Drosophila melanogaster: one gene and its partner. The protein of the gene in region 1 interacts with the protein of each later gene in a pairwise test. Each region holds a gene or a part of one and is shown in the gene's direction. Other genes may lie near its edges. The genes, in order: ND-39 and alphaTub84D.

Region 1 (7,741 bases):
TCGTGTATCTTCCAGTTGTTCCACTAAATGTTCATTTCCTCAATTTGATTTCGTTTTCATTCGAAATCCGAAATGGATGGGTAGTGGGTGGCAGGAGGCAATGTTATATAGGCTCGAACAAAAGATAACACAAGATAAGCAGAGCTACAGATACAGATACAGATAAAGATACTGATTCGTGTGAAGCCTCAGGTCGCTCATTGTTGCTGTAGTTGCTAGGGGATAATGAAGATAACGAAGTGATCCTCCCGATAAAATGTGGTGTGATATGAGTGGCATGTGGATGAGAACTGACGGTTCCCAAAGACTACCAAAAAAAAAGCAAAGATGTCAAGGCAGGTCTAAAAGCTGAAATTAGGCTTAGCTTTTCATTTACAATTTTGTATACCCATTACTCGTAGAGCAGGAGGGTATACTAGACACCCAGGAAAATTTTAGAGTAATAATAGGGTAATGCAAGGTCAACAGACTTAATGCCATTTTTTGGGGTAAAAGATTTAATGTACACTTGTTTTCGAAACCGATTAAAAAAAAAAGAAAAAGTTGGCATATCACGCTAGATTGAATAAAGTAATTGCTCGTATTTATTGGATTTGTATATTTAGCGAATTTTTTTTTTTCAAATTTAATGCTTACTGGTGGTAAACTGTTTAAATAAAGAAAATTAATATGCAACATATCGGTATTGTTATTGATATCGCCGCTAAACCTTTGATTTAACATCACTCGAAATATTTATTGAAGTGAAAACAGAAGCAATCGGCAAGTAAAATGAACAACTTATAACGTGTAATTAAATTTATATATAAATTTCTTTTAGTTTGTATGTTAACTAGCTATTTAATTGCGAATAAGTCCAATGTTCAATTGAATGTCCGTCCGTCCGTCTGACCGTACATATTTTTTTAAAGATATTTGTAAAAAGTTGAGACAAGGCATGCATCCCGACATCTGAGTAACAGGTATCTGGTTATTTTATAGATGCTATGTATAGTTAAACAACTATTTTACAAAAATGAAATTGCTCACAGATTAGTATTGCGAGAAATCTTTTTACTTTCGAGAATTCAATTGCAAAATTTTAAGGTTTTTATGGAATGTTTTTTCACCCCTTTTGTCATAATTATTTGATTACCCTCGAATCCGGACCTTCTCAGATGGCGTAAAGTCCAGATCGTAAATCTGAGCCAAGAGTTGACAGCTCAATTGCCAATTAGACCAATGCAACAGCTCACTCCATTAATTGAAAAAATAAACAAAAAGTGAAGCGTGCAGTAAAATTCGGGACCAATAACATTTGCTTTTTGTTTTGATTTGCCATCATCAGGTTTCAGGTGCATTAATTCTGTTTGCTTGTTTAATTTTTTGCTTCTTTCGGACCATTGCCTGCATACAAATGAAGTTTGGCAACAAACAGCATTTGTTGCCTATTGGTTTTTGCGTAGATTTTAAACTGAATTACAAAAATACTTCCTATACGGGTCCCTGGCCTGTTTTCAAAACAACCAGCAGCTAAAATCTAACAATTTTGACCATTTCGGACACGATGACAAGGTTGCCGATGCCTTTGGAATTTCTAATTCGCAAGGGAACGGTGTTATTTAAAAATTCTATCAATATTGTTATTGTCTATCAGTGGGCCACAGACAACGTGTGCTGCCAATATTTTATTACTTTGTTGCCCATGAGGCGCATTTGAACATTTCGAACGCGCCAAAATCGGACTCCTGATAAGCAGATAGAGATAGTTGTCTACCGACCCTATCGCTATCTCACCCCAGGTGATTAAGTGGTAAGTGGACAGGTCTGACTGATAAGAGCGATTTGGAAAACAATATCGAAAACAACTCGGCTTTCAGTGGGTTAAAATGCCATCACTAGTCGAGGGATTGATTCGATGGGGAATGTTGATGTTGCCACCGGTAAATGTTGCCAAGTGGAAATTAATATTTTTAGGGGGGCTCTCTTATAATATGGGATGTAAATATGACTTATTTAGGTAATACAGCCTTAAAATCATAGGTACATTATAAATATAAGATGTAAGATAAGAGTTAATAAAGATGGAACAACTAGGCGAAAGTAAGTATGCAGATTTTAAGTTATTCCATATTAGTAAGTAGTAGGCTATAAGTTAAATTGCATTGCACTCGGCTAAATTTTCCGTACTAATTGTGTGTTCTATAAAAATCCAGCTTGTATCTTACTGCTTTTTAGCCCATAATCATAAAAGTGAAACCCAATCCACGTTTTTTTTCGCGAATTCACAACCCTGACCACCTGTACATAGTAAGTGATGAAGCACACGATTCAATGAAATATTCCCATTATAATAAACAAAGAAGTGTAAATATTTTAATTACGATTTTATGCACCACCATCTACGTGCAATCTGCACCTATATACATAAGTATATATCTATATATGTACATATGTATGCTTTCCCTGCATCCTCATCGAAAACGTGATCAGTTGGGGTCCGAGAGATTTTTTGATGATTTACAAAAACCCATTAAAATAATACGAAGTTTGATATTAATGCTGATTACTAAAGACCCACTTCAATTACACTTAATGACTCGAAATTACAAAACGACAAATCTAATTGAATTAAATTTATAAACATACAATGCGGTTGCAGTGATAGAAGTAATAAATACAATAATAGCTTTCTATGTAAGAGATTAAAATATAATAATTTTTCTTTTAATATAAATGTAAAATTTTTGGATCTCACGCTACTCTTTAGATTAATAATTTGAGTTGGCTAATATAACCGTGCAACCAAAAATGCATTATTAACTCAATCGCAAACAAATTAGTTTGTTTATTATTTCATAGAGTAATTGTTTATAATATTTTGGAACTGGAAACACGGCCGAGCTGGGTTCTTCAGAACTTGAGCCAAGGCCCGGGATTAATTTCCATTGAATTAGCTAAGGGTGAGAATTTGTTTTTAGCTTAATCTCGATGCGACTGGCAGGTGGATCGTAGACAGATATAACCGTTAATTAGCATTAATTTCGATCGAACTTATTTTTATACACCGCAGAAGTAATACATATTTCGGGCAATATTTTTTCACATCGGTGCCAAGAGGCGCGAGGCGTCTTAATAATCACTTGCTAAATGGATCTACAATCTGCCCGCTAACGAATCAGTCATCTATATACAATCTGCGAGTATCCAAAACTGCGCGCATTAGGGCGTATTTTTCCGATTCCTGGGCCCAGATACAAAGCCGAATTTCGCATACGGCCGAAAAGCCCTTATCAGTCTAGACCCCTAATACTGTGGCTAAGAACTGGAGAATTACCGTCTTTTGGACTCTGATAAGCGAAAAAAGGCCTGCGTTCGCTTTACGTTTTCTAATTATAACCGCGGCAGCGTAAATTGCTTTGGAAAATGTAGCTTTTCCTATTTTATTGTTATTATTATTATTATTATTATTCACACACACGCACGTTAGCGATTTAAAATATTTCGAGGCACACGCGCTAATTTTTTCGGGAGCGAATCATTCAGATCGTTGTTAACTGCAGCGCGGCTCAAACACGAATGATCGCAAAAGACGACGAGAAATATACATATGGCAAAATAAACGGAAAACCCGAAGCACCATGCCGAACTATAAGTACTCTTTTAATTGAAATTCGAAATGTTATAATACTAGTAAAGCTATGTTCTACAAAAACAAGAAGATTTCCTCATTATAATTCTGAGCATTCATAATTGAATTAAAATTAATTTTAATTTTTTCACTAGAACGGATATGTTCCAAGAGTAGTTAATTTATTTATTTATTTACTTTTGAGTTACTCTTCGTAAGGGTATTAAAGGCAAAGAGAGATGGTCGAATAGGAGCAACAACAACACCAATAACCACGGCCGGCAAAACAAACGAAAAGCCCGCAAATTTAAAGGGTGGGGAGCAGAGATAAGGAAGAGAGAGGTAGAAAGCAACAGTGATAGTATTTGTGTGGGCGAAAAAGTGCGTGAGCAGGTTGAAAAAAAATCAGCTGATTGCATGTGAGCTATTAAAGAGAGCGAAATGAGAGCAGAAAAAGGAGAGTGAAATTTATACATATGTTGCTTGTTTATGCCTGTCAAATGTAGGTATGTTTGTATTGTCGTTATCTAGGTAGGTTTATGAGACAACAACAATGCCATAATAAATATTATAAATACATATTTACATATGAAGCTATGGTAATCTCTATAGAATTACATCCTCAATTGTCAAAAGCAGTGATCTGTGCAGATATTTAACTTATCAAACGCACAACTGAAGTCAACAAACAAAAAACAATGTGTTTTATTATAACAATAATATAAACAATGTGTTTTATTATTTATTTTTAGACAGGGTGATTCAATAGAAATATCTGACACGAAATTTACTCTTTATACACAAATACGTACATATATATGTATAAGAACGCGTTTGACACACTGACAAATGTTTATAATTTTTTGTATATCCTGACCCACTGCATGTGTATAATGTAATGTTACAATACCAGAAATATTTTTGTATCGAAGGAGGTTATTCATGACAGTCGCATTCGCCTGAAATCCCATTATCTTAACCAATCTAAAAACAAATTACTAACTTATATACCCTCGGTACTAATTAGTTTACCCAAGCTGTTACATTCAAACCAAATTAGCTAGTGGTCCGCACTTTATAACCGCAAAAATGTGTATCCATTATGAACAGTTTCACCACAAGCTCACTTTTATTTCACTGCTTATCGGTGTTTTTGGTCCGTAGAAATAGTTAATCCTTAGTTGGCCGATTTCGAACAGATAACACTAAGTTTTCCCGATGCTCTCGGTTTTACAGCTCGAAGGCGACTGCTAACTGAATTCTTTGTCCGTAGAACCCAAGCCGTGCCGAATTAAACGATCCGCGGGCTGGAAATTGCAATTAAGCCACGCACATTAGATAAAAAGTTTGCGGTGTGACAAGCAAGGCAGTTACTTTTCAACTGGGACACGGTTAGCTTATGTCTTATTTGCCAACAAATATTTATAAACTAGTGCCAAGCAAGAAGAGTGGTTTATATGACGGTTTAATTACCGCTAAGAGGCTAAGATATCCCCAAGGTTGTCAAAGTAATTATGAGGTAAAATTATTAGTGCCACCTAAATAGTATGAATAATTCGAGATCATAGTAGTTATAACCGTAGTAGCATTTACCGATATTTGATAATCAGATAATTAAAATATGTTTGGTATGCAATGGCCACGAACACGGTCTATTGGTTATGAGGTCAATTATTTACATATTTAGGGTTAACTTTAGGTTAACAGGGCTTTTTAAAAACTATAGAAAAAACTGTTACTTTCCAAATCAAATGTTTTTCTTCAGTCTGGCAGCTTTGTTTGACGGTAGTTTTTGATATCAACCTGTCAATTCTAGTATATTCCAATTGCTACGCCACGGTCACACTGTCGTGGGGCAAAATAAAAAACTGGCCTGTTCCGAAATAAAATAGGATTTTAAGCGTAAATTAACCGAATCGAGTTGGTCCAGTGTGCCGGTGCGAAATGGCCGCCATAGTACTAACCCGTAATCTCCAGCTGGCCAGTGAGTACCGTGCCTGCGGTCGAAAACCGCCAGGCAATCCAATTATGTAATACGATGTTTGTGGCTAACTTTTGGCTCATTCTCTGTCCAATTCCGGATACTTAGAGCACCACGGCAGTGGCGTGGTTGGAGTTTTGTGCCTGCGTGGATATTCCGCCGCTGCTGCGCCGCCGGAAGATGGTCCACGTCCACTGAAGACCACCAATCCGGCTGCCATGAAGCGCGGAACTGGCGGACGTAGCAGTTTCAATGGGATCGTGGCGACCGTTTTCGGTGCCACCGGTTTCGTGGGCCGCTATGTCTGCAACAAACTGGGCAAATCTGGCACCCAGATGATCCTGCCCTATCGCGGTGACGATTCGGATGTTATCCGTCTTAAGGTCACCGGTGATCTTGGCCAGGTACTCTTTCACTTCTACAACCTGGAGGATCCCGCCTCCATTCGTGACGCAGTCAAGCACTCGAACGTGGTCATCAACCTGGTGGGCAGGGACTTCGAGACCAAGAACTTCAAGTTCAAGGATGTCCATGTCAACGGAGCGGAGAGGATCGCTAGGTGAACATCATAGCCAGCATTATTTGCCTGCCCACTTCTTCATTCTAACTTTGCATGACGTAAACCACTTTTATTTCTTCAGGATTGCGCGCGAGGCTGGCGTGGAGCGCTTAATCCACCTGTCCTCTTTGAACGTGGAGGCCAATCCCAAGGATCTGTACGTCAAGGGCGGCAGCGAGTGGCTGAAAAGCAAGTACGAGGGTGAGCTTCGCGTACGCGACGCCTTTCCCAACGCCACGATCATCCGCCCTGCGGATATCTACGGATCCGAGGATCGCTTCTTGCGCTACTACGCCCACATCTGGCGCCGTCAGTTCCGCTCGATGCCGCTGTGGCACAAGGGAGAGAAGACCGTCAAGCAGCCCGTCTACGTTTCGGACGTGGCCCAGGCCATCATCAACGCCGCCAAGGATCCGGACAGCGCTGGCCGCATCTACCAGGCTGTGGGGTAAGTCAATCTCCGAGTCCAAGTATTTGTACCATGTACATTTTCTTAATTTCCTTTATTCTCTGCAGACCTAAACGCTATCAGTTGAGCGAGCTGGTCGACTGGTTCCACCGCCTGATGCGCAAGGACCAGAAGCGCTGGGGCTACATGCGCTACGACATGCGCTGGGACCCCACCTTCCTGCTGAAAGCCAAGCTGAACAGCTTCATCTGCCCCGGCACCCCGATTGGCGGTCTGCATCCCGCTCGCATCGAACGCGAGGCTGTCACCGACAAGGTTCTGACTGGTGTCCCCACGCTTGAGGATTTGGGCGTCACGCTGACCACAATGGAGCAGCAGGTGCCATGGGAGCTGCGTCCCTACCGCGCCGCCCTCTACTACGACGCCGAGCTGGGCGAGTTCGAGACTCCCTCGCCGCCCAAGTGCATCGAGGCGCGCGATGAACTGCGTCTGTTTGCCTAAGCGGAGCGAAGTAGCTGTCTGTGTTGATTGGAAATTTTTAGTTGGAATTGTTTAAGGCGATGCGTCAATAAAGAGAAGTCGAAAGACCCAATGACAACGAAGGAAACTTATATTTCCAAATATTATATAGACATTGATATATGTATTTATTTCGTGCATTTAAATATAAAAAAATTTATAAATACTTTTGAAAAAAAAGTCAAATGGCTAGAAAAGTTTGATGTCGGAAAAAAGATTGGCAGCTCGAAATACCTTTGGTATTTTTCGGTATCTTATTGAGGTGACATCGCTCCGGCAACTAAATCAAAACAAATGAAATCGCTGTCATCGTCTGGCAACGCTTCGCCCGTCCGATTTTTCTTCCTTTGCGACCAGGAGCTTTTCTGCAGCAGTTTCCTCCGAAACTTACGCCCGTGCAGATTTATGGCCGGAAAATCATAGTACGGAAAATTCGATTTCCCAAGTTTTCTGAGTCTGTGTGTGTGTGTGTTTTTGGTGTGTGTAAAGATTTTCAACTTTTCAGCTTGGTTAAGCGGTGAAAAAAGAATATATCAACAACAACACAAGCGCGCGCCCGCCTCTCTTTTCGCGTTTTTGTGCGTGTGAGTGAGAGTGAGTGTGATAATTATGGCATAAGTGGCATACAAATTATGATAGCAGAATTCCCACGGCCGACGACGA
Region 2 (4,609 bases), on another chromosome or scaffold:
CAATAACATCAAAGAGGGTGGATTCTTATTCATATGAATATAGTTTAGCGAGCCTCAACTGGCAAATACCGGTGCTCGCAATCAGGACAACGACATCCTTTGTGGAGCTCTAGGAGATTTCGAAGTGGCTCATTATCGCATGGCTCATATAGTACTTTGCCCTCTTTGGATTCCTGACCCTCGTATGCTGACTCCGGCGGACACTCTTTCTGAATACAAATCGGTTTTTCAACGTTCGATTTATCTATCTTGCATTTACGGAACTTTCGGATCTGGACATCAACGAATGGCTTATACGACTCGTACAGTTTTGGTACGGTAAAAATAAACAAGTGTCCTATAAAGAAAAATTATTTCAATTTAATGTAACTTTATAGATAAAGTAAAGTAAGACAACATATGCACATACCAAATATAAGCAAAGTCAATCCGTTGAAGCAATCGCCCAGCAAATTGATGCCGCAGAGCAAAACTAGGAACTTCAAGGAATCCTCCCACTTTTCCACCAGCAACAATTCTATCATACGGTTTAAAATTAAATTAATATGGGAAACTGCTTTCCCGGCCAGATAAAGAGTCTCCTCCCGGGGGATTTCTATCTTCGGGTGAGGATAGAAACGTAAGATCTGATCTTTGTTCTCATCCTTCTTCCAGATACTCCAGAACTGTACCAAAAGGCGATGGCCAATAGCTGCTATGAGAACTGTGATCCCTACCATGCTTATCACACTGATCACCGAGTGGACCATCACATCCAGCAGGAGGAGCAGGATGCCCGTGAAGACGATCAAAGTCTTTCGGCTATTGCGCCATAACAACAGGTTCTTCAGATCCATAAATATTTGGCTGGAGTCCTTAGCCTTTATCAAAGTATCGGTACTCATATTTTCGAATGTCTTTAGAGCACGTTCGGATGCTGGTTGTGAGATCAGAGCAAATAATGTTTTAAGTTTTCACAGCTGACTAATATTTCAAAGGTCAACCGAATAGACAAACTAAAATGATTTCAAATTGTCAGGTCGGAATGTATTTCGATTCACCACAATGTTTGTGTCTTGCTTCAATTCAGTTCACAGTTAAATTTGAAAAGTTTCTCGACATTGTATTTCTCAAAATGAAGAAAGCGAAGATATTCTAAAAAATATTTTTTTAAATTTTACTACATTTACCTAGCTAATACCGAATGCTTTGCGCACATTATTCATCCTTTTTTTTTAGCTAACTAGCGGGTTTAAATAGTAGTTTTTACTTACGCATCTTCAGAAAATCTTCAATTGTATGAAAATATGAATAATACACAAAATAGTAGCAGATTCCAAAAAATGTTAGCCTTTTGACACGAATAGCACAGACTGGTCCCAATATAAAGAAATACATCTGTGGATTATTTCAAAGCATACTCATTTCGCGCGCAATTAATCGATAAGTGCGCAAAATGGATCGATAACTGCGCAGTACTGTACTGCTCTCGGAAATTACTGCCTTAAAAATATACCAAGCGGGTCAAAAGAGTTCGTTGTGTTTACGGACGGGTTGCTCCATTCTTTAAAAATATATGAACATAAAAAAATTACTTACTTCTTTTATCTCTATTTCAATTTATTTTGTTCACTATGACCTACTGACTTAATGCAAAAATGCACTATTCGGTTTACATACTTTGTTCATTTTGGTAAATAGTAATAGTAGATGTTCTAAACACATGTAAAATTACTTAAACGGAACATTAGTAATTTGACGCTCTCTTGAAATAGGCATTATTAATTGTGTTAATATGCAGTTCACTTATACAAGGCATTGGTATTATTGAACTGTTTGGTATCTTTAAATTTCCCACCGGCGGTCACACTTAATCTACTGAACAAGCGTGCTTGTGCTAAATAATTTTACTGATCTTTAAATCTCGTAAATACCGCCATTTAGCCGCATCTGAACACTCTTGCCGATGGTAATCAATTATTGGCCAAGAGCTAGCAATGTTGTGTAAAAATCAGCGTGAAACTAAAGCCGAATTCAAACAAACAAACCAAAAAGCGGCCTGACAGGGTTTTTCGTGCCCCCAGAGCAAAATCGATTGGTAAAAGAAACGCGTTTCGTATAATATAGATAGTTATCTAATATCTAATCTAATATCTGAGTTGTTGTGAAGCCCTTTTTCGTAAAACAGAGCTACTGGCGATTTACGTCTGTTCGAAATCCATTCCCGGGCATTCCAACGTATACGCCCGCAGAGTCAGACCCCAAAATCCGTAGGCTTACACTTTTTCCGTTGATTTTCCGTAGTCGCGTGTGAGAAACCGAAACTCGAAACAAGAAACCCGGAATCGGAAACCCCATTAAAAATCAATATGCGCGAATGTATCTCTATCCACGTGGGCCAGGCCGGAGTCCAGATTGGAAATGCCTGCTGGGAGCTCTATTGCCTGGAGCACGGCATCCAGCCCGATGGCCAGATGCCCTCCGACAAGACCGTAGGCGGAGGTGATGACTCGTTTAACACCTTCTTCAGCGAGACTGGAGCTGGCAAGCACGTGCCTCGCGCCGTGTTCGTGGATCTGGAGCCCACTGTGGTCGACGAGGTCCGTACTGGAACCTACCGTCAGCTGTTCCACCCCGAGCAACTGATCACCGGTAAGGAGGATGCGGCCAACAACTACGCCCGTGGCCACTACACCATTGGCAAGGAGATCGTCGACCTGGTGCTGGACAGGATCCGCAAGCTGGCCGATCAATGCACCGGTCTGCAGGGCTTCCTCATCTTCCACTCGTTCGGTGGAGGTACCGGCTCCGGCTTCACCTCGCTGCTGATGGAGCGTCTCTCCGTGGACTACGGCAAGAAGTCCAAGCTGGAGTTCGCCGTGTACCCAGCTCCGCAGGTGTCCACCGCCGTGGTGGAGCCCTACAACTCCATCCTAACCACGCACACCACCCTCGAGCACTCCGACTGCGCCTTTATGGTGGACAACGAGGCCATCTACGACATCTGTCGCCGAAACCTGGACATCGAACGACCCACTTACACTAACCTGAATCGTTTAATCGGCCAAATAGTGTCCTCGATCACCGCCTCTCTGCGATTCGATGGAGCCCTAAATGTGGACCTCACCGAGTTCCAGACCAACCTGGTTCCTTACCCCCGCATCCACTTCCCGCTGGTGACGTACGCTCCCGTCATCTCCGCCGAGAAGGCCTACCACGAGCAGCTGTCGGTGGCCGAGATCACCAACGCCTGCTTCGAGCCAGCCAACCAGATGGTCAAGGTGGATCCCCGTCACGGCAAGTACATGGCCTGCTGCATGCTGTATCGCGGCGATGTGGTGCCCAAGGACGTGAACGCCGCCATCGCCACCATCAAGACAAAGCGTACCATTCAGTTCGTGGACTGGTGCCCCACCGGCTTCAAGGTGGGCATCAACTACCAGCCACCCACTGTCGTCCCAGGCGGGGATCTGGCCAAGGTGCAGCGTGCCGTGTGCATGTTGTCCAATACCACGGCTATTGCCGAGGCCTGGGCCCGTCTGGACCACAAGTTCGATCTGATGTACGCCAAGAGGGCCTTCGTCCACTGGTATGTTGGTGAGGGCATGGAGGAGGGCGAGTTCTCCGAGGCCCGTGAGGATCTGGCTGCCCTCGAGAAGGACTACGAGGAGGTCGGCATGGATTCCGGTGACGGTGAGGGCGAGGGTGCTGAGGAGTACTAGAGCGGATAGGTGTGCATCCCTCAAAATCTTGCTTATTTTCATACGCTCCCACTCGCATGTATAAATTTTCTGCGATAATGTATAGCGAACAAAGAAGAAAATAAAAACCCAAGAAAACACCAATTTATTAACCACGTTTAGTAAAAGGCACGAGAAAGTTAGTACTTTAAAATTAACTTTAATTTTATATATGACCAAAAGTCATGCATTAAAAAGTTGTTCACGTGGGGTACATCTGTATATTATTAATTTGCTTCATTTTTATTTTGTTGGTTGGTTAATGTCCTCTATTAACATAGGTTATTTATAATTTAACAGTCCACAGGAAACCGAACATCATAAAGGTGTCTTATCTAGGATTTCAACACCTGTATACAGTAAGATTAGAGAACGCTCTACCTGGCTAAACGGTAAGGTTTTACCAGGCTAGAAACTAAAACTAGAAATCCACGTATGCAAGTCGATGGATCCAGCTTTCCATATCATTCTCCAATCATCTAGGGTGTCCAAATAATATAAAGTTTTTCTTTGCTGCATAGAATTCAGCCAATAAAATTGAACAGAGATCTATCCATATTTTCATTCATTTCTATTTACTAAGCGAAGATTCATAAAAAAAAAAACCAATAGAAATAAATTTCCAGCCTTAATAATTCTTGAGATCTCGCTAGTGATCCTAATGAAGACAAATTTATATCCTCAATAGAGTTTGATTTAGATTTTTCGACGTGTAGCGAGAATAATTATTTCTTCTTTAAGAGGTATAAGGATATAAAAGCAAAATTTAAAATTCCGAATTCCTAAAGACATGCAATTTCATATTTCCTGTTAAAAATGATAAAGGAAATCTTACCAAGGTAAGATCGATTCACCTAGGTATACAAAACAATTTATTTAGAAACATATGC

The links.
Region 2: the proteins of ND-39 (region 1) and alphaTub84D interact in a two-hybrid assay, tested with the Drosophila melanogaster proteins (one large-scale study listed by BioGRID).

The regions. Positions count from the first base shown.
Region 1 is NT_037436.4:20,489,926-20,497,666, forward strand, and holds ND-39 (NADH dehydrogenase (ubiquinone) 39 kDa subunit), read left to right. Parts: upstream 1-2,156; 5' UTR 2,157-2,289; intron 2,290-3,316; exon of another isoform or gene 3,317-3,565; intron 3,566-4,737; exon of another isoform or gene 4,738-4,996; intron 4,997-5,421; exon of another isoform or gene 5,422-5,426; 5' UTR 5,427-5,554; coding exon 5,555-5,594; intron 5,595-5,699; coding exon 5,700-6,150; intron 6,151-6,232; coding exon 6,233-6,598; intron 6,599-6,666; coding exon 6,667-7,060; 3' UTR 7,061-7,159; downstream 7,160-7,741.
Region 2 is NT_033777.3:7,528,911-7,533,519, forward strand, and holds alphaTub84D (alpha-Tubulin at 84D), read left to right. Parts: upstream 1-1,842; 5' UTR 1,843-2,348; coding exon 2,349-3,701; 3' UTR 3,702-3,822; downstream 3,823-4,609. Other genes in the region: Rtnl2, read right to left, coding at 45-337, 410-884. UniProt on the Drosophila melanogaster protein: Tubulin is the major constituent of microtubules, a cylinder consisting of laterally associated linear protofilaments composed of alpha- and beta-tubulin heterodimers.